Macaca fascicularis: one gene and its partners. Each later gene encodes a partner of the first gene's protein in a complex. Links are inferred from orthologs where the notes say so. Each region holds a gene or a part of one and is shown on either strand. Other genes may lie near its edges.

What was found.
Region 2: the proteins of SLC3A1 (region 1) and SLC7A9 are in contact, whole or in part, in a cryo-EM structure (PDB 6LID), measured with the Homo sapiens proteins. The link is inferred for Macaca fascicularis from reciprocal best matches to the Homo sapiens genes SLC3A1 and SLC7A9. Residues at the interface, in NP_000332.2 of Homo sapiens: Pro64, Tyr65, Ala66, Gly67, Met68, Pro69, Lys70, Leu73, Phe74, Phe76, Ser77, Tyr82, Pro85, Arg86, Phe90, Thr93, Val97, Leu100, Ile101, Ala103, Thr104, Ile107, Ile108, Ser111, Cys114, His201, Asp202, Thr373, Glu374, Pro375; in NP_001119807.1 of Homo sapiens: Cys137, Phe140, Tyr141, Val142, Gly143, Cys144, Pro147, Ile149, Val150, Cys153, Leu154, Ala156, Ala157, Leu160, Phe161, Thr164, Leu168, Thr279, Thr281, Asp295, Arg296, Tyr299, Tyr343, Val346, Arg347, Lys467, Thr470, Met471, His472, Gln474.
Region 3: the proteins of SLC3A1 (region 1) and SLC7A13 are in contact, whole or in part, in a cryo-EM structure (PDB 8WK6), measured with the Homo sapiens proteins. The link is inferred for Macaca fascicularis from reciprocal best matches to the Homo sapiens genes SLC3A1 and SLC7A13. Residues at the interface, in NP_000332.2 of Homo sapiens: Pro64, Tyr65, Ala66, Gly67, Met68, Pro69, Lys70, Leu73, Phe76, Ser77, Arg81, Tyr82, Pro85, Arg86, Leu89, Phe90, Thr93, Ser96, Val97, Leu100, Ile101, Thr104, Ile107, Ile108, Ser111, Cys114, Leu115, Glu194, Asn195, Asp202; in NP_620172.2 of Homo sapiens: Ile120, Phe123, Phe124, Pro125, Ser126, Cys127, Leu132, Pro133, Cys136, Leu137, Leu139, Ala140, Met141, Trp143, Ile147, Arg151, Lys187, Thr265, Arg267, Asp281, Arg282, Glu450, Cys454, Tyr455, Gln457, Leu458, Leu459, Phe460, Asn461, Ile462.

The regions. Positions count from the first base shown.
Region 1 is NC_088387.1:77,738,540-77,744,766, forward strand, and holds part of SLC3A1 (amino acid transporter heavy chain SLC3A1), read right to left. Parts: intron 1,950-6,227; coding exon 1,782-1,949; intron 669-1,781; coding exon 552-668; intron 1-551. UniProt on the Homo sapiens protein: Acts as a chaperone that facilitates biogenesis and trafficking of functional transporter heteromers to the plasma membrane.
Region 2 is NC_088393.1:40,135,396-40,142,326, reverse strand, and holds the start of SLC7A9 (B(0,+)-type amino acid transporter 1), read left to right. Parts: upstream 1-2,729; 5' UTR 2,730-2,808; intron 2,809-3,865; 5' UTR 3,866-3,976; coding exon 3,977-4,063; intron 4,064-6,931. UniProt on the Homo sapiens protein: Associates with SLC3A1 to form a functional transporter complex that mediates the electrogenic exchange between cationic amino acids and neutral amino acids, with a stoichiometry of 1:1.
Region 3 is NC_088382.1:95,959,233-95,965,459, forward strand, and holds part of SLC7A13 (solute carrier family 7 member 13), read right to left. Parts: intron 2,541-6,227; coding exon 2,179-2,540; intron 1-2,178. UniProt on the Homo sapiens protein: Associates with SLC3A1/rBAT to form a functional heterodimeric complex that transports anionic and neutral amino acids across the apical plasma membrane of renal epithelium.

The DNA of each region.
Region 1 (6,227 bases):
TTTTGGCTACTGAATGATATTAGTGCTTGATCATTGTGGGAACAGAAAAAAGGGCAAAAGCCAAAGTGGTATTAGTATACCAGAGCAACCACTTCAAGGATCATGTATGGCTTCTGTTTCTTCAGAACAGTAGTGTGGATTTGAGCCTTGCTCTGGGTTGATGATCTCCTTCCTGCCTGTGTGGCTGCCTATCCACCCACACGCCTCTCTCACCACATTTTGAGGGGAAGAGAAGAGGAAGGGTAGCTGGGCTAACTAAAAAACTTCTATAAAATTTCCTTCATAGCTCAAAGGCCTTAGTAAAGGTCATTCTAATGAAGACTTGTATATTCTGTATGATACTTCACTTCACTTGGTAGATTTCTACCAGTTTGTATTTTCACAAAGGCATGATTTACAAACTCCTTACAAATTGAAAACTACAAGGGAAGTCTTTGATTGATGTAAAGAGTATCTGTGAAGGTTTAGACACATTCAGGGTGAGTGTGTACTTTCAGTAGAAACCCACTTCTTGTTTCTAAAATCAACATAAAATTTTCACTCATACTTACATCAACATTCACAGTGTGGTAATCTGAATTGGTGGGTAACCAGGTGTAACTAGCTTCAGAAAAACCAGCATTTGAACTGTTGTCCCACTGCATTGGTGACTTTGAGTGGAGGGTATTCTATATCAAAAGACCAGAAAGGGAAAACAGTGGTTTGGTTATTAAAAGAAATGTACTTTGGTCCTGATTTACTTCATAATTATTTAATTCCCTATAGTTCTTAGCTAGTGTCTGTACTCATTAGCATTTGTGATGAAAAGGCCTTAACAATAGGTACATAAACCAGTTTCACACTTTTAACTGGAAAGTACCTAATAACATTTTGAGTTTGAATAGACAATACTAATTTAACATTTTGAGTTTGAATAGACAATACAAATTGAACTTTAATACATGCTTGAAATCTTTGCTGCTTTTTCCTAAAAATCAGTAATATAGGATTTCAAAGTGTGCTATTACCAATATACATGACTTCTGTGGTACAGTGATGGTGAATTTAAGAACACTGCCATGTACAAGTGAGTGTGAATTCTATTCTGCTCATTTATTCAGCCTGGTTACTGCTCATGAGTGCACACACACAAATGTAGGAGCTAATAGAAAAAAAAAAAGCTTCACCTTAATCAAATATTAGGGAAATTGGATCTCATACAATTGAAGGCTAACCAGGCAAATTAAAGTTGCAAGACAGTCATCTACACAGCAACACAATTCTGAAATCTATAGCTACAGAATAAAAAATGCTTGACGTTGAGGCTGTGCACTGCACATGATAACAGAAAAGAAAGGGTCTTTGTGCTATGGTCACCCAAGACCAAACAGGACAAATGAGAACTAAAGAAATAAGTGTTCCTAACTCCACATTTCAAGCAGAGGGAAATGAATAATATTCTAAACTAAACCACTGGTTCTCCAATTTTAGTGTGCCTCTCAACACAGTATTCCCAGCAAATAAATAAATAAATAAATTTTAATGTGCCTGTCAGGTAGAAAACATCTTTAAAATGCCCTACCCAAGAAATTTAGTTGGTGGCTCCAAAAGCATTTTTAAAATAAGCTCTCAAACCGCCAAGAAAGCTGAGAATTCCTACTAACAGTAAGAAAGAAAAGCAAAGTAACCATGATTTTCAACAATGGAATAGAGAGATAGTAAGTTCTCTGATTTGGCAAAAAATAAAAAATGAATACTTGGTTTTATAGCTGTGATGAATAGTCAAGTTGTATTCAACTTACAGTATCATAGCTTTCATTGAGATTTATGGCTACAATATTTCCCATTCCAATTTCTTCTCCATAGTAAGTTATAGGAGTTCCAGGCAGTGTGAAAAGAAGCATGTTCATCACGTTGACATACTCATTCCCCAAACGAGAAGTCAGCCGGGAACTGTCTGGTCCACCAATCTGAAAGGCAGATATTTTTAAGAACACAGCTCTATAACACAGTTTTCTGAAAGATTTACCCTATTTCACAGAAAGTTCACCAGGTAGCAGAACAAAGTAGATATGGTACCTTGTTACTAGCAAGCCTGAACTTGAGTCCTAGGCCTGCTATTTGCTGTGTAAGTGACCAATTTATTATCTTGGCCACTGATGAGCAAGAAAAGAGTGGTAAGAATTTACAATGATATTGCAAATAAAACTCAGAGGGTACATACATAGTCATATTTTCTCATATCTGGATAAGAGAATATTGACAGGAAAGGAAACAAAACTGTTGCAGAGAGCAAGACAATGGAACAAGGTGAAAGGACAGGCATGAGAGACTTCTGACGTGTCCTCTTTTAAAAAATTGTTTTGACTTATGAACTATTCGGACAAAATTTTTAAAGTAAATCAACTTTTGGAAAGAATTTACATAGTCCAAGATGAAATGTTATAAAGTGTTTTCTATTTGTAAATATATTTCCATGTTAAATGTTCTAGCCCTTATTTAAATAAGAGTTTGTTTAAATAAGAATTTATTTAAATCACCTGACAACTCTCCATAACCCACAACTCAAACCCTCACGTGCATAGGCTGAGCATGGCACTTTACTTTTTAAAAAGTACTTTCACACCTATATTTCCCTCCTTCACACAACAGTGCAAGTACTATCTCCATTTTACAAATGAGGAAACAAGCTCTGAGAAATTGCATCATTTATTCAAGTAGTAGTATGAGACAGAACTAGCATTTGAACTTGAGTCTTAGGATAAGACTTAATTGCTACAATTCAAGAAATAGGAGGTTGCTTTTTTTTTTAACTTCCTAGGATGTATGAAAATGATCTTTATAATTATGTTTTTATAGACCATTGTGAAGTATTTTTTTATATTTATGGCCAGAAAATTAGGTCAATTTTTGCCTCCATCTTTTTATTCTTTTCTCTATCATGAGATCTTCTGATAAGAAACCCTTTGATTTCTCAAGCCTTCTGGACATAGAGCACAACAAACACTGGGAAAGGAAGAATGTGATTTCCAGAATTGTCATACTACTTAAAATGTCCAGTTTTTAACAACAACAACAAATATACAAAACAGGGAAAGAAAACAGGAAAATATGGCTCATATAATGGTGGGGGCAGTCAATAGCAAATGTTGCTTAGGAAGACCAAACATTGGACTTACTAGACAAAGACTTTAAACCAGCTAATATTTTGATATTCAAAGAAAAGAGCTGTGTCTAAAGAATTTAAAGTATATGAACAGTTATCAAATAGATAAAGAGAAATTATGAAAAAATTAAAATTTTAGAGTTAAGTACAATAGCTAAAGTGAGATATTTACTAGAGGGACTTGACAATTTGAACTAGCAAAGGAATCAGAAAACTTGAAGACAGGTCAATTGAGAGTATCTGGCCTGAGAACCAGAAAGAAAAAATAGAGAAGAATGAGGCCAGGTACTGTGGCTGCCACCTGTAATCCCAGTGCTTTGGGATGCCAAGGCAGGAGGATTGCTTGAGCCCAGGAGTTCTAGACCAGCCTGGGCAACATGGTGAGACTCCATGTCTACAAAAAATTAAAAATTTAGCCAGGCATGGTGACATGCACCTGTAGTCTCAGCTACTCAAGAAGCTGAGATGGGAAAATTGTTTGAGTATAGCACGTCAGGGTTGCAGTGAGCCATGTTTACACCACTGCACTCCAGCCTGGGCAACAGAGCAAAACCCTATCTCAGAAAAAAGAGCAGACTCTCAGAAACCTGTGGGATACTATCATGCATACCAACATATGCAAAGTGGGAGTCTCAAAAGGAGAGAAGGGAGAGAAATGGTCAGAAACAATATTTGAAAAAATAGCCAACAACTTCCCAAATTTGATTTTTTAAAAAATTGTGTATCTAAGAACCTCAGTGAACTCCAAGTAGGACAAAATTTTTAAAAACCCACACTTAGACACTATCAGTCAAACCGTTGAAAGACACAATCTTTAAAGGAGCAAAGAAAATTGGTACATCACATGTAAGGAATCTCAATAAGATTAGCAACTGACTTAACAGAAACCATAGAGGCCAGAGGGCAATGGGATGATATATTCGAACTGATGAAAGAAAGAAATGTAAACCAAGATTTCTATATCCAGCAAAACTGTTATTCAGTAATGAGAAAATGAGATACCACTTCATATGTACTATGATGAGCATAATTTCTAAAAACAAGACAGAAAAGTGTCAGGGAGGATGAAAAGAAATTGGAACCTTCATGCATTGCTGATGGGAATGTAAAATGGAGAAGTCACTATGGAAAAGTTTGGTAGTTCCTCAAAATCAGAGAATTATTATATGATCCAAGGCTGGGCACAGTGGTTCACATCTGCAATCCTAACACTTTGAGAGGCCAAGGCGGGAGGATCACTTGAGCTCAGGAGTTCAAGACCAGCCTGGACAACATGGCAAAACCCCATCTCCACAAAAAATACAAAAATTAGCCAGAGATGGTGGCATGCACCTATAGTCCCAGCTACTTGGTGGGAGCTGAGGCAGGAGGATTGCTTGAGCCCAGGAAGTCAAGGCTGCCATGAGCCATGTTCACACCATTGTATTCCAGCCTGGGTGACAAAGTGAGACCCTGTCTCCAAAAAAAAGGCTGGGTACGGTGGCTTATGCCTGTAATCCCAGCACTTTGGGAGGCCAAGGCAGCAAATCACTTGAGGCCAGGAGTTCCAGACCAGCCTGGCCAACATGTCAAAACCCCATTTCTACTAAAAATAAAAAAAATTAGCCAGTCATGGTGGCACACGCCTGTAATCTGAGCTACACAGGAGGCTGAGACATAAGAATTACTTGAACCCAGAGGTGGAGTTTGCAGTGAGCCAAGATCATACCACTGCACTCCAACCTGGGTGATAGTGAGACTCTATCTCAAAAAACAAAACAAAAACAAGAAAGAAGTATTACGTGATCCAGCAATTCCACTCCATGGTATAGATCCAAAAGAATTGAAATCTGGGGCTTAAACAGATACTTGTACACCATTGGTTTGTAACATTATTCTAGTAGCCAAAAGAAGGCAAAACCACAAATGTCACCAACAGATGAATAGAAAACATGTGTTACATAGGTACCATGGAATGTTATTCAGTCATAAGGAGTAAGATGTGATACATGCTATTGTGTGTATGAAGGGAACTTGGAAACATTAAGCTAAGTGAAATGAGGCAGACACAAAAGGACAAATATTGTTATGATTCCACTTATATGAGGTACCTAGAATAAGCAAATTTATAGAGGCTGAAAATAGAATGGAGGATATCGGGTTAGTGGTGGGAGTGAGGAATTAATGTTTAGTGGGTACAGATTTTCTGTTTGGGATGGTGATGGTTGTACAACATTTTGAATGTATTTAATGCATTGAATTACACACTTTTGAATGTTTAAAATTATGTTTTATGCATATTTTGCCATAATTTTAAAACAACAAATTCCTCAGGAGGCCGGGCACAGTGGCTCACACCTGTAATCCCAGCACTTTGGGAGGCCGAGGTGGGTGGATCATGAGGTCAGGAGACTGAGACCATCCTGGCTAACACGATGAAACCCCGTCTCTACTAAAAATATAAAAAGTTAGCGGGGCGTGGTTGCGGGTACCTGTAGTCCCAGCTACTCAGGAGGCTGAGACAGGAGAATGGCGTGAACCCGGGAGGCGGAGCTTGCAGTGAGCCAAGATCATGCCACTGCACTCCAGCCTGGGCAACAGAGCAAGACTGCCTCAAAAAAATAATAATTCCTCAGGAATTCACAATAAACTATTAGAAATGAAAAACAAGTTCAGCAATGTTGTAGGATACAAGATCAATATACACAAATCTATTGTATTTCTATACACTAATAATGAAGAATCCAAAAATGAAATTAAGAAAACAATTCAGTTTACAATAATATCAAAAGAACAAAATACTTACGAATAAATTGAACAAAAGGTGTAAGACTTATACAATGAAAAATACAAAACATCATCGAAAGACCTAAATAAGATACATCTGTGTTGATGGATTAGAAGACTTAATATTGTTAAGATGGCATGACTGCCAAAAATGATAAACAGATTCAATGCAATCCCTATCAAAATCCCAGTTGGCTTTTTAAATCCCAGTTGGCTATTCTAAAATTTATATGGAAATCCTAAAATTTACATGGAAATATAAGGTACCCAGAACAGCTAAAACAATCTTGAAAAATAACAAAGTTGGAGGACCCAT
Region 2 (6,931 bases), on another chromosome or scaffold:
AGCGGGTGGATAACTTGAGGTCAGGGGTTCAAGACCAGCCTGGCCAACATGGTGAAACCCTGTCTCTACTAAAAATACAAAACTTAGCCAGGCGTGGTGTCACACATGTAGTCCCAACTACTCGGGAGGCTGAGGGAGGAGAATCGCTTGAACCTGGCAGGTGGAGGTTGCAGTGAGCTGAGATCATGACACTGCACTCCAGCCTGGGTGACAGGGCAAGACTCAGTCTCACAGAATAAATAAACAAAATGGTAAAAATGACAGTAGGATTTGCACTTTGGGAGGCCGAGGCTGGTGGGTCCCTTGAGGTCAGGAGTTCAAGACCAGCCTGCTAACATGATGACACCCTGTCTTTACCAAAAACACAAACATTAGCCAGGCATGGTGGTGGATGCCTGTAATCCCAGCTACTCAGGAGGCTGAGATAGGAGAATCGCTTAAACCCAGGAGGCGAGGTTGCAGTGAGCCAAGATTAAGCCACTGCACTCCAGCCTGGGCGACAGAATGAGACTCCATGTAAAAAAAAAAAAAAAAAAAAAAAAAAATTGACAGCAGGGAGGTGAAACTTCAGCCACATGGCAGAAGCACTGGATACACAATGAACCAACAATCTTCAAGAACTGAGGAAAATTTTGCTTTTTAAATCAAATCTGTATTATTTTCCATGAGGAAGAGCTTATGAGAATTACTTGAATACTTTCTGTGTATTCAAGGGAGAGAGAGGGTGGGACTGGGGTGAAAAACACAACTTTAAGAAACAGGCTTAAGAAATGCTCACCGTGGACCCAAAATGAACTGAAGTGGAGGTTTCTGACTTAACGAAGGACCCTCACACCCTGACGTTCCAAACTCGGCACTTGGCAGAGGTCTATTCCTGGACATTCATGGAACACGCAAGTTCAATGTGTTCCACGAGGAGGCGCCTGTTGCTAGCCCCGCTTTGCAGATTCAGATCCTGATCCTGGCAGTGCTGCCTGAGCCCATGTGGGGAGTGGGTGAGGTTGCAGGGCTGTCTGGTGTCTGGCCCCAGCAGGGGACCACTGCCCCACCCTGCCCTCCTCATGTGGTCTCCTGTCAGCCCGCCAGGAGCACGTTTCCCCAGGGAGTATTCTGTGGTGTTTTGCAAACATGGATGTGCCAGGTGCTATGACGAGGCTGCAGCATTAGGAGGAGTGACCCCAGCAAGCCTGTGGGCAGGTTCTGTCTGGGGGTGGCAGGACCTGCCGCCAGCCCCTGGCGTCTACTCTCCAGCCTCTCTGCTCAGGGCTCTGGGCATGGCAGGCAGGTAAACAGGCTGTGCCCTCCCAAGATGGGAGGTAATGAACTTCTTTTTTTTTTTGAGATGGAGTTTCGCTCTTTTTGCCCAGGCTGGAGTGCAATGGCACGATCTTTGCTCACTGCAACCTCCGCCTCCTGGGTTCAAGCGATTCTCCTGCCTCAGCCTCCCGAGTAGCTGGGATTACAGGCATGTGCTACCATGTCTGGCTAATTTTTTGTATTTTTAGTAGAGACGGGGTTTCTCCATGTTGGTCAGGCTGGTCTTGAACTCCCGACCTCAGGTGATCCACCCGCCTCGGCCTCCCAAAGTGCTGGGATTACAGGAGTGAGCCACCGCGCCCGGCCTGGAGCTGATGAACTTCTAAATCAGGTTCCTGTGCTCTGCAGACGGCTTTGAGAGAAACCTGTGCCTCTCTCAGGTCTGCTTGCCCCAAACTGTCCCCCAGAGACTCGCCCAGCTCCTTCCACCCCTGACCTTTGCTTCCATCCAATATCTGGGATGCAGTTAGGTTTGCCTCGAGGCAAAGCTACCAGAGTTTTGGCTGAAGATAACAGCTACAATGCTTCACACGCAGTGCTTATGCTGTGCCAGGCTGTCCTAACTGTCTCATAAGGTGCTTCCTTCCCTATCTGAAAGGGCTTAGTGCTGACCTCTGAGGCTGCCGCCTGACCCAAGGTCCAGTCGCAGCGCGGGAGAACCTCTGCTCCCTCCCGGAGACATCCAGACCCTGGCAGCCCTGGATGGGGACCGGAGCTTCCTGGCCATGTGTTTCCTGTCCCCCCATAGGCCTCTGTTTCCCCGATGGGGAAGGTTTTGTGTCCCTTGTGTCTGATGAGCCAGGACAGGGCTACGTGAACAGCACCACAGCCAAATCTGATGGGCATTTGGCCACAGCTGCAGGGAGGACGTGGGGGCCTGCACTGCCTCAGGCCTGCTCATGGCTCCAAGTGGTGAAGCCCCATCACTGGTAAAGAGGAGTGGGACGGGCTCAACCGCTCTCACCTGCTCAGCCAGAGGCAGGCCTGGGGCTTGGGGGAATTTCCTGGGCAGGGAGGAAACTGACAAACAGCTGAGTTACACACACACAGCAGTTCCTGTTTGAGCTGCCTGACTTGGGTTTTAAATATAGCCTATTAAAGCAATTAGAGAATTGGTTCCAAAGTTTACCTCCTCTGATTCCCAAAGATAAAAGAAGGCATAATTTATTTTATCTTTAGGTAAAAAGTGTAGATGATTTGGGACTATCTGGTTTTAAAAAAATAATCTGACCTAGACACAAATGAACAAAAACAGTTTTGGAGAGAAATTGGTCTGCCTCACCCTCCCCTTTTTGTGTGGCGTATCTAAGCTTCATGGCTAAAACAAAACCAAAAAAAAGGTGTTTAATAATTACCTTTATTGACCTCTGTACCTTCTGGACTTCCTTCACTCCTGGGCACAAGACATGGCCATTCCTAGGGTTGGACCGTGCAGGCACGGGCGGTCAGCTGGGCCGCAGCTTCTCCGGCTCTGCAGGGTCACGGAGGAAGGTAAGGTCCGTGGGTGATAGAAAGGCTCATGGCTCTCCTGGCCGGGGCCTGGACAGAGAATTTATTTAGAGAGAGGGTACAGTGGTGCATGGTTACCTCCTAATTCAGTCTGGAACTGGGTTTCCTTGGCAATGTTTTCATTCCTTTCATCACTTAATGAAAAAGTACCTGGCCAGGCGCGGTGGCTCACCCCTGAAATCCCAGCCCTTTGGGAAGCCAAGGTGGAAGGACTGCCTGAGCCCAGGAGTTGGAGGCCAGCCTGGGCAAATAGCGAGACTCACATCTTTACAAAAAAAATATTGTAAAAATTTAAAAAGTACAAAGAAAAAGTACCTGTATTGTATTGTGGCTCTGTGATGTAGGGGAGTGTCTTTAATCTTGGGAAGGAATTATAAGACACACACTCCTTACCTGGACTTGATTCTGATAAATACATTCCACAATATTTTCATTTTTAAATTTTTTATATTTTATTTTTTTTGAAACGGAGTCTCGCTCTGTGGCCCAGGCTGGAGTGCAGTGGCACGATCTTGGCTCACTGCAACCCCCACCTCCCAGGTTCAAGTGATTCTCCTGCCTCAGCCTCCTGAGTAGCTGGGATTACAGGCACCCGCCACCATGCCCAGCTAATTTTTTTTTTTTTTTCATTTTGAGTGGAGACGGGGTTTCGCCATGTTGGCCAGGCTGGTCTCAAACTCTTGGGCTCAAGTGATCCGCCCACCTTGGCCTCCCAAAGTGCTGGGATTACAGGCCTGAGCCATTGTGCCCAGCCCAGGATGTTGTTAAATATTTCTTTTAACTTTTGAAAAAAAAAAATGAAGTTGGACCACGGAGGTAGAATAACTTTCAAGGCACAGGCACGTGGGCCAGAAGGCTCCCGGGGCCTGTCTGGGAGAAAGCTAAGCAAGCAGCTGAGCTTTGGAGAACAGCGGGGAGCTGTGTTCCCCTGCCTGGACAGTGTTAATGACTGACTTTGACTCTGGGGCCCAGCGCATGAGCCCTGCAGGACTGGCAGCGGCCCCCGCCTGTCGCAGTAACCAACACTGTGCTTTTGGAGCCAGCTCCCCTAGTCCAGGCCGAGCTTGCACTTGCATCTTGTTTGCTGCTGCTGAACCAAGATTCAGCTGTGCGCCTTCCTTGCAGTCTCCTGGAACCAGCAGGAGGAAACATGGGGGATACTGGCCTGAGAAAGCGGAGAGAGGATGAGAAGTCGATCCAGAGCCAAGAGCCCAAGACCACCAATCTCCAAAAGGAGGTAAGGCGGTCTCTGGCGGGGCGGGCCCTTTGCAGGTTAGGCAAGGGCGTCTGAACGAGGGGCGCAGGCAGTGAAATCCGGGCCGATCCCTAGTGACACGGCAGAAGATGTGCTCTTTGATTTGTGAATTACATCTTTAAAGGGACAATCTCTGGACCTACTTCTTTCCCTCTTTCCCTCTCACCAGGGAACTCTGTATATTCTTTTTTTTTTTTTTTTTTTTTAGATGGAGTGTTGCTCTGTCGCCCAGGCTGGAGTGCAGTGACGCCATCTCGGCTCACTGCAACCTCCACCTCCCCGGTTCAAGGGATTCTCCTGCCTCAGGCTCCTGAGTAGTGGGGATTATAGGCGCCCGCCACCATACCCGGCTAATTTTTGTATTTTTAGTAGAGATGGGGTTTCGCCATGTTGGCCAGGCTGGTCTCGAACTCCTGACCTCAGGTGATCCTCATACCTCGGCCTCCCAAAGTGCTGGGGTTACAGGTGTGTGCCACTGCACCCGGCTGCATTTTTTTTTTTTTTTTTTTGAGACAGAGTGTTGCTATGTCGCCCAGGCTGGAGTGCAGTGGCTTGATCTCAGCTCACTGCAACCTCTGCTTCCTGGGTTCAAACAGTTCTCCTGCCTAAGTCTCCTGAGTAGCTGGGACTACAGGCATGTGCCACTATGCCTGGCTAATTTTTGTATTTTTAGTAGAGACAGGGTTTCACCATGTTGGCCAGGCTGGCCTCCAATTCCTGGCCTCAAGAGATCTGCCCACCTTGGCTTCCCAAGTGTTGGGATTACAGGCGTGAGCCAACTTGCCCGGCCCACATATTATTTTAAGTTCATACCTGGGTGCTTTTGTGTGTTGGGCAAATGTCTAGAGGGGCCAGTAGTTTTGTTCAAACTAATGACCTTTCCAGGAATGGTCAGAAAGGGCCTCTTTTTAAAAAATTAAAAAAAAAAAAAAATTTAGAGACAAGGTCTTGCTCTGTCACCCAGGCTGGAGTGCAGTGGTACAATCATGGCTCACTGCAGCCTCGACCTCCTGGGCTCAAGTGATCCTCCTGCCTCAGCCTCCGGAGTAGCTGGGACTACAGGGGTGCACCACAATGCCCTGGCAAATTTTTAACTTTTCAAAAAATTTTTTTCTGTAGAGGCAGGGTCTTGCTGTGTTGCCCAGGCTGGTCTGGAACTCCTGGGCTCAAGCCATCCTCCCACCTCGGGCTCCCAAAGTGCTGGGATTATAGGCGTGAGTCACTGTGCCCAGCCAGAGAGGGTGTTCTGATGGTTGAGTCCCCTCTAAATGCCTGTCCCTCTTATGTCTGAATGGCTGTAGTAAGGGGAAGTACTGCCCCCAGCATAGCCTGTTCTGTCTTAGAGGCATCTACCAGGGACGGCCGCTCTGAGTTGGGGTGCAGTGAGCAGCTGGGGCTGGCCCTGGGCCTGGAGGGGAAGGGAGCTTGGGGCTGTGGGAAGGCAGAAAGGAGCTCCACACGGGTCACCGCGGCAGGCCCAGGCAGTTGGGAGCAGCAGGTGCTGAGCATGGAGGAGCGGGGAGGGCTTCAGGCTCCGAGGAGGAGGAAAGGCAGCCCTAGGCAAGCTCGGGATGGTTTCCGCTTCCAGGGCAGTGGTGTGGGTGGGGCCTCCGAGAGCTCCCATGCCTGGCAGCAGAGGGGATGGAGGAGGGACCGCACCAAGGCTTTAGGACTTGACCAGGGGGCTGGCAATGGCCTGAATGGCTTGGCCTGGGACTGGGGTCCCCAGGAGGTAGACGATGGGCTGCAGCCCTCTCCCTCTCGGCCAGTCTCAGGCCTGATCTCAGCAAGGGCCTCTTGGAACCCTGTTGGGCCCAGTGGCCACAGAGCACAGCTGAGAAATCCCCAGATGTGTCTTCTGAGCTGGGGACAGGTGTGGCGGCACATGCCTGTAACCTTAGCACTTTGGGAGGCTGAGGAGGGAGGATCGCTTGAGCCCAGGAAATCGAGGTTGCAGTGAGTCATGATCGTGCCATTGCACTCCAAGCCTGGGTGACAGAGCAAGACCCTGACTCTAAAAACTGAAAATCTGAGCTGGGTCTACCCCTCAGTCAGGCAGCTTCAGGGTGAATGCAGGCCTCACCCACATCAGAACCCAGGCAGTCCCTCAGCAGGAGGGAGGACTCTGGAGCCAAACAGGGCTGAGATGAGGAGGAGAGCTGAGCCCTGTCCTGGAAGTGCGTCCTGGCCCTGAAAGCTGACGCTGCTCCCCAGGGATCCCGCTGGTGTGCGGAGAGTCCCCAGGGTGGCAGCCTGCAGCTGGGAGCCCTTCATCCCCTGCAATCTGACTCCAAGCCCAGCCTCTTCCCAGACAGGTGAACACGGGCGCTGGAAACTTCAGGCTCTGGAGATCTGGCTGGGGGCTGCTTCTGAGGACAGGTGTTATGAGTAGAGCTTGAGTTGGACTTTTTTTTTTCATCCTTGATTGGTGTGTAATTTACATACAGTGAAATGTGCAGGTTTTTTTTTTTTTTTTGGAGACAGAGTCTCACTGTCACCCAGGCTGGAGTGCAGTGGCTCACTGCAACCTCTGCCTCGCGGGGTTCAAGAGATTCTCCTGCCTCAGCCTCCTGAGTAGCTAGGAACAGGCGTGCACCAGAATGCCTGACTGATTTTTGTATTTTTTAGTAGAGACAGGGTTTCTCCGTGTTGGCCAGGCTGGTCTCGAACTTGCGACCTCAGGTGATCCGCCTGCCTTGGCCTCCCAAAGTGCTGGTATTACAGGCATGAACCACCGCACCTGGCTGAAATGTACAGATCTTTAGTGCTGAGTTTGGTGAGTTTTGACAGATGTACCACCCCAGAAAGCTCCCTCCTGCCCCTTTCTGGACAGGGTCCCAGCCTTGCATT
Region 3 (6,227 bases), on another chromosome or scaffold:
AGTGAGCCAAGATCACGCCACTGCATTCCAGCCTCTCCAGCCTGGACGACAAGAGACTCTGTCTCAAAAAAAAAAAAAAAAAAAAAAAATCTTCTTAGTTTATAAAGCATCCTTGAAAAAGATACTTTAGGCCGGGTACGGTGGTTCACACCTGTAATCCCAGCCCTTTGGGAGGCTGAGACAGGCGGATCACGAGATCAGGAGATCGAGACCATCCTGGTTAACGTGGTGAAACTCCGTTTCTACTAAAAATACAAAAGAATTAGCCAGGTGTGGTGGTGAGCTCCTGTAGTCCCAGCCACTCGGGAGGCTGAGGCAGAAGATTGGCGTGAACCCAGGAGGTGGAGTTTGCAGTGAGCTGAGATTGCGCCACTGCACTCCATCCTGGGCGACAGAGTGAGACTCCATTTCAAAAAACAAAATAAATAAATAAATAAATAAATAAATAAATAAATAATAAAGATACTTTATCATCTCATGGCTCAGTATCAGTTATCAAATAATTGAGAGAAAAGAAAAGAGCACTCCTGGGGGCATACAAGACAAATTTTAGCCACTTGTACTTAAGGCTGTTCTTGCCTTCCTTTCTGATGCAAATGTAAGTTGAATAATAATATAAGCAATAATAGCCATCAATGTCAGACCCTGGATTGTTTGCATGCCTTAGCTTACTTAATACATCCAATGCTAATAGGAGGTAGGTATTATTTTTTCCCATTTTACATCTGAAGAAACTGAGGTTCAGAGGTTCAATAACAAGACTAAACTCAGCTATTAGCCAAGCAACTGGACTTGAGCCCAAAGCTCTTAATGATTATCTTATGCTGTTATTTGTGTATAACTAATTTATCCCCCAGTTCATAACTTCTTTATAATTGTATCTATTAGGGTCAGTGATCTAACAAAAGTGTGGGTGAGAAAACAGCAAAAGACATTAAAAAGATGCAGCATGTGAAACTATACAGAGAGCAGATGTTAGGGAGGCACATCCGAGGGGGACTACGACCATCAACCCTGCTGTAGATTCGATCTCTCTCCATATGCGTTCTCTGAGCTTCCTCTGCAAATCACTAGGTAGCAATCATCACGCCATGATTTTTGGTTTACATGACTGTGCAGATAGATTATAACCTGACTAAAGGCAGGAGCCAAGTCTTAATTATTTTTCTACTCAGAGTACCTAGCAAGGTGCTTAAAATATAGTTGCCTCTTGACAACTAATACTCAGATACACAACAATTACGAGATGACTGGATGGAAGAAGTTGAAAAGAAGGCTGGAAAGGAAAGAAGGACATAAATCAACCACAGCTGGTGATGGGAACATTGCTTTCGTTCTCTCAGCAGTTCTTTCGTATATTTTGTATTTAGCGAGAGTCAAACACTCCAAAGAGACTGCCTAGATTTAAATCTTGCTCTAATCCACGCTGTGTGAGCTTGGGCAAGTGACCTAACTTTTCTAAGTCTGTTTTCTTATCTGTAAAATGGGAATAACAATAGAATCCACCTTTCTATTACTGAGAGGATTAAAGGTGATCATCCAAGCCAAGCTTTGAACAACCTACCTAGGCAACCAAGATTATTTTATTATTCTGATCATCAGTGTCAGGGCCATCTCTCTCCAATAACATTCTTATGCTACCAAGTTTTGCTGCTTATTTGTTTTTCTACAATTAAATGGTTGTCTCCTCTCCTGTGAAAATTTTTTTCATACAGACTGAAAGTCAGTTTAAAATAAGTAAAGTTGAAAGACTGGAATTTGCCAACAAAGTAAGTTGATGTTTCAGAACAGTGGATGTTATCACTTGTGACCTCACCTTGCCTCTTCTGTTTCTCATCTGCTAAATCTGACCCTGACTGTGGAAGACATTCATATGCATAACTAGTTACATAAGTAGACAAAATAATATCTGTTCAAAAGACTCATAATGATCTGTCTAACCATCCAGAGAACTGTTTTTCTCTCTAATAAACCATTAAATGGAATATAAGAGACTTTATATTGAGTAACCTAGCCAATAAAAATGAAAATTAAAACCAAGACCAGATTATTCTTATGTTTCACAATAACTGAGTATTCAGAAGATCTACTTATAGATGCCTTGATTATAATCTGAAATACAGTTATACTCAATATCTGTTCTTTCACACAGAAAAGAATTAGAAAATCAAATTTTACCTTATAAGGTATAGATAGATTGGGTTCCTGGTATCTCCGCCTTAATATTCCTATCATTAATAATATAGACCATAATGAATTCGTGAAAAAAATATAGTTTATCAAATCAATTAGACTTGTTAAGATAATTGCAAGGGATCCCAAAGTGACAAGTAGCAGCACAGCTGTAAATGGAGAGGAGTGACTATTAAGTGTATTAAATAGCAAAGGCAGCTGGCCCTCTTGGCTTGCAAGATATATTGGTCTCGATGATTTAAATATAGAAATCAGAAGGTTGCTAAATAATGAGGTAGAAATAGCAAAAGGCATAATCCATGCCAATGAGGGAAAAACTCGATTAGCCCATGTGATAGCTACAGCATCTGCAGGAAAACAAAAACACACAAAAGAAAACGTGTTAAAAGAGAAATACTAATGATAAACCCTTTAATATTATTTCAACATAAAAACATAAACTTAAGGAATAACATTCAATTTGCTTAATTTTATTGTTTATTTCCTTAGTTACACTTACATAACACCTTTTAAAGGTGTCTATTTGAGCCCTATCACACTGTATTGTAAATGGTTATCATTTTATATGTCTTCCCCAATAGACCAAGAATGTTTTAGAGGGCAAGGACAATCCATTTATTTTCTATAAAACTAGTGGCTCACTCTGTGACAGACATATAGTAGGCTTTCAATAAACACTTGTGAAATGAATTGATTTTGTTGAATGGACGATTGAATCCATGCTTATTTTCTAAAACTAGTTTATAGAGTCTTAATAGTTACATTCAGAGGCCAAAAAGCACAGTGCAACACTACTGACACCAGAATGAGACTTTCCCACAGCACAGTGCAATTTGAAATACTTCGCAGAAAAAGGAACCACGTAGAAGAAGAAAATAAATTACACACCATTAAAAATATGTATGACATTTGGGACTTTTCTATAGACCGATAGCTCTCAATTGGAGCTGAATTTACTCCTCAGGGTCATTTGGGAATGTCTGGAGACTTTTTTGGCTGTCACAACTGGGGAGGTAGAAGGTTGCTGCTCGTATCTGGTGAGAAGAGGCCAAGGATGTTGCTAAACATCTTATAATGCACAGGACAGTTCACTACAACAAAAAATTATACAGTATAAAATGTTCATGGTACTGAGATTAAGAAACTAACCATTAGAGAATATTCTACTTTTTTTTTTTTTTTTTTTTTTTTTGCTTAAAGATAAGAGACCTTACAGGTACTAATTTAATAAAAGTCCACAGGAAAAAAACGAACCTGTGAAGAAAAGCATCCACTGTTTGTGAGAATTCACTTGATTCAGTTCATATTATGTGAATATATGCTAGGACAGATCACTTGGTCAGAGAGAAACAAATTCTCAGTTTTTCAATGGAATGAGCACAATGGGGCCTGAGGTCCCTGGGGGTACGTGTCCTTGGAGCCTATGCTCTTGTACCAAGGTTGGTTTCTAGAGGGACTTTTGGGACATCAACATACTGGCTTGTAACACAAGGTAGGACTTCCCAAATGTGACAAAATTAAAATATCATTAATAGCCCTTGTTCTTAAAGATCTTTAATTTTTGTAACCCTTTTTAAATAGCCTCAAGTGCCATTTCACTTGTTTTCCTTAGTGCTATTCTACAACTTTGGATCTTCCTTAAAAATATCTCCTGTCTCATTTATTGTTCTTTTCAGGAAGATATTGTTAGTTGTTTTTCCCGGACACCCATACCTCCATAAATTTCACATTTTCAGTCACATTTCCAAAATATTTATTTCCAGTAATGCAAAGGAAATTCCCCTTCAATTTCCCTGTGTGCATTCTACAAACGTGGTTAGTTATAACTTGAGGAGGATCAGGTGCAGCTCTGTCAGTGCTGGCTGGCAAAAACGATACATCTTTCTACATCATCTTTAGCTCTATGCCATAAGGGATGTTTTTTCTTTGTTACACTTTCCACATGTTGTTTCTTCTCTTTTAAAAATGATTTCATATATGTTTTGGGTGAAAAGTAAAATAAATAGCACTGAAGCACATAAAGTGAAAAGTAAATGTCCCTCTCTTCACCAACCTCCCATTCATGCGCAGCAAATGTAACCACCATTAACAGCTGTTTGGATCCTCTTCCAGAAATTTGGTATGAATGTATAAGCACCGATTAGGGTTGTGTATGAGTGTGCATGTTTGTGTACGCTCACTTAGGCTTGTTTTTGCAGGTGCATCTTGCTCTTATTGGTACATTTGCATGCATCTAATTATTCTAGCAAATTCTCAGCATTCCATTATATAACTGTCAATGACTTTATCTACCCATTTCATATTGTTTTATTTGTAGTTTATGTTCAATTTCTTGCTAATATAAAATGGGCTTTAATGAAAGCACTCATGCCTTCCATTCTTGATAGTTGTTCAAATCTCCTTAGAGTAAATTCTTAGAAGTGGGACTTGTGAGTCCAAAGGTATACACATTTTAAAATAAGGATGATGTTACAAAATTGACCTCAGAAAATAATTGCATTAATTTACCAATAAATGATTCTAAAATTCTCACTTTCTCTTCAAAATTCTTTTATTATTATTATTTTTAATTTATTTATTTATTTATTGCCTATCATTGGCTATCTTTCCAAAATTCTTAACCATATCTGGGTACTTGGGACCAGCTACTTTTAGGCTGTATCTGGACAGGGAAACCTTCTCAGCTTCTGCTTCCATAAAATGTATTTACTGTTTTAGATTATCTTGTCCCATGCCAATTTTCTCTAGTTTTAAATATGGCATGGAACTCTCAAGAAAACCAAATGTGAGCACCCTGTCAGCAGTCTGTGGTAGGACTTTGGGAACAATGAAATCCTCAATTTTCAAAACTGGGACAGGGCTCCTCACTAAGTCATTTCCATACCCCTTGTTCTAGAAGAACACCCTTCCCTTCTCAGTTGTGGTACTTATTCACAATAAAGGCTTTTTTTTTTCCCCCCCTAGGAGGAAAATATGTGAAGAAACAAGTCAGAGCTCTGACATGGACACAGATGAAAATGTTACATAATTAATACCATTGTTTCTTTTTCTATGTAAACCACAAATATTAGAATCTAATATTTATCACAGCCTGGTATAATTCTTTCAATGTTCCTTAAATAAAATGCAGCATACAATTCATGCCATATCATAGATGCTCTATATTCATCTGGGAACTTTTCACATTTTTTACATATACCTGTTTGAAAAAAATACATCTCTTAATCTTTAAAATTTCTTAATTTGAGAACCTAGGTTTGGGCCTGGTGGTTCACGCCTGTAATACCAGCCCTTTGAGAGGTCAAGAGGGAGAATCACTTGAAGTCAGAACAGCCTGGCCAACATGACAAAACCCTATCTCTACTAAATATACAAAAGTTAGCCAGGTGTGATGGCCCATGCCTGTTATCCCAGCTACTCAAAAGGCTGAGGCACAAGAAGTGCTTGAACCCTGGAGGCGGAGGTTGCGGTGAGCAAGATTGTGCCACTCAACTCCAGCTTAGGCAACAGAGAAAGACTCTGTCTCACAAAAAAAAACAAAAAACAAAAAAACAAAAAAAAAAAAAACCTATTTCTTTTGCTTATAAGTTCCCCCTTATTATACAAATTTTGCACCTTAAAGAAAATGTGTAATATTCAGTGCAAACAATAAAGTAAAAATCATATACAATATCATTCCTGTTGATCACCATTACTAGCTACTTATTTACTGTTTTACATCATTATATTCATCCTGACTTTTTCCTCATTATTGAATTATAAACATTATCCCTTTTCTTCAAGTGTCCATCAACAATATCATCTTTTACAAATCACAGAATATTCTGTTATATAGATGTCCCATAAATTTTTTATTTGTTTCAAGTTTATTGGATATTTTTATGATTTTTAATTTTTGCTATCATACATAAAGCTATGATTACTATACCTATACATGTATTTTTTCATGTATGACTCTGATTTTTTTCTTAATTTAAATTTCCTGTACAATAAACATGCAGATATTTGGACTCAGAAACATTAATTTAGAATTT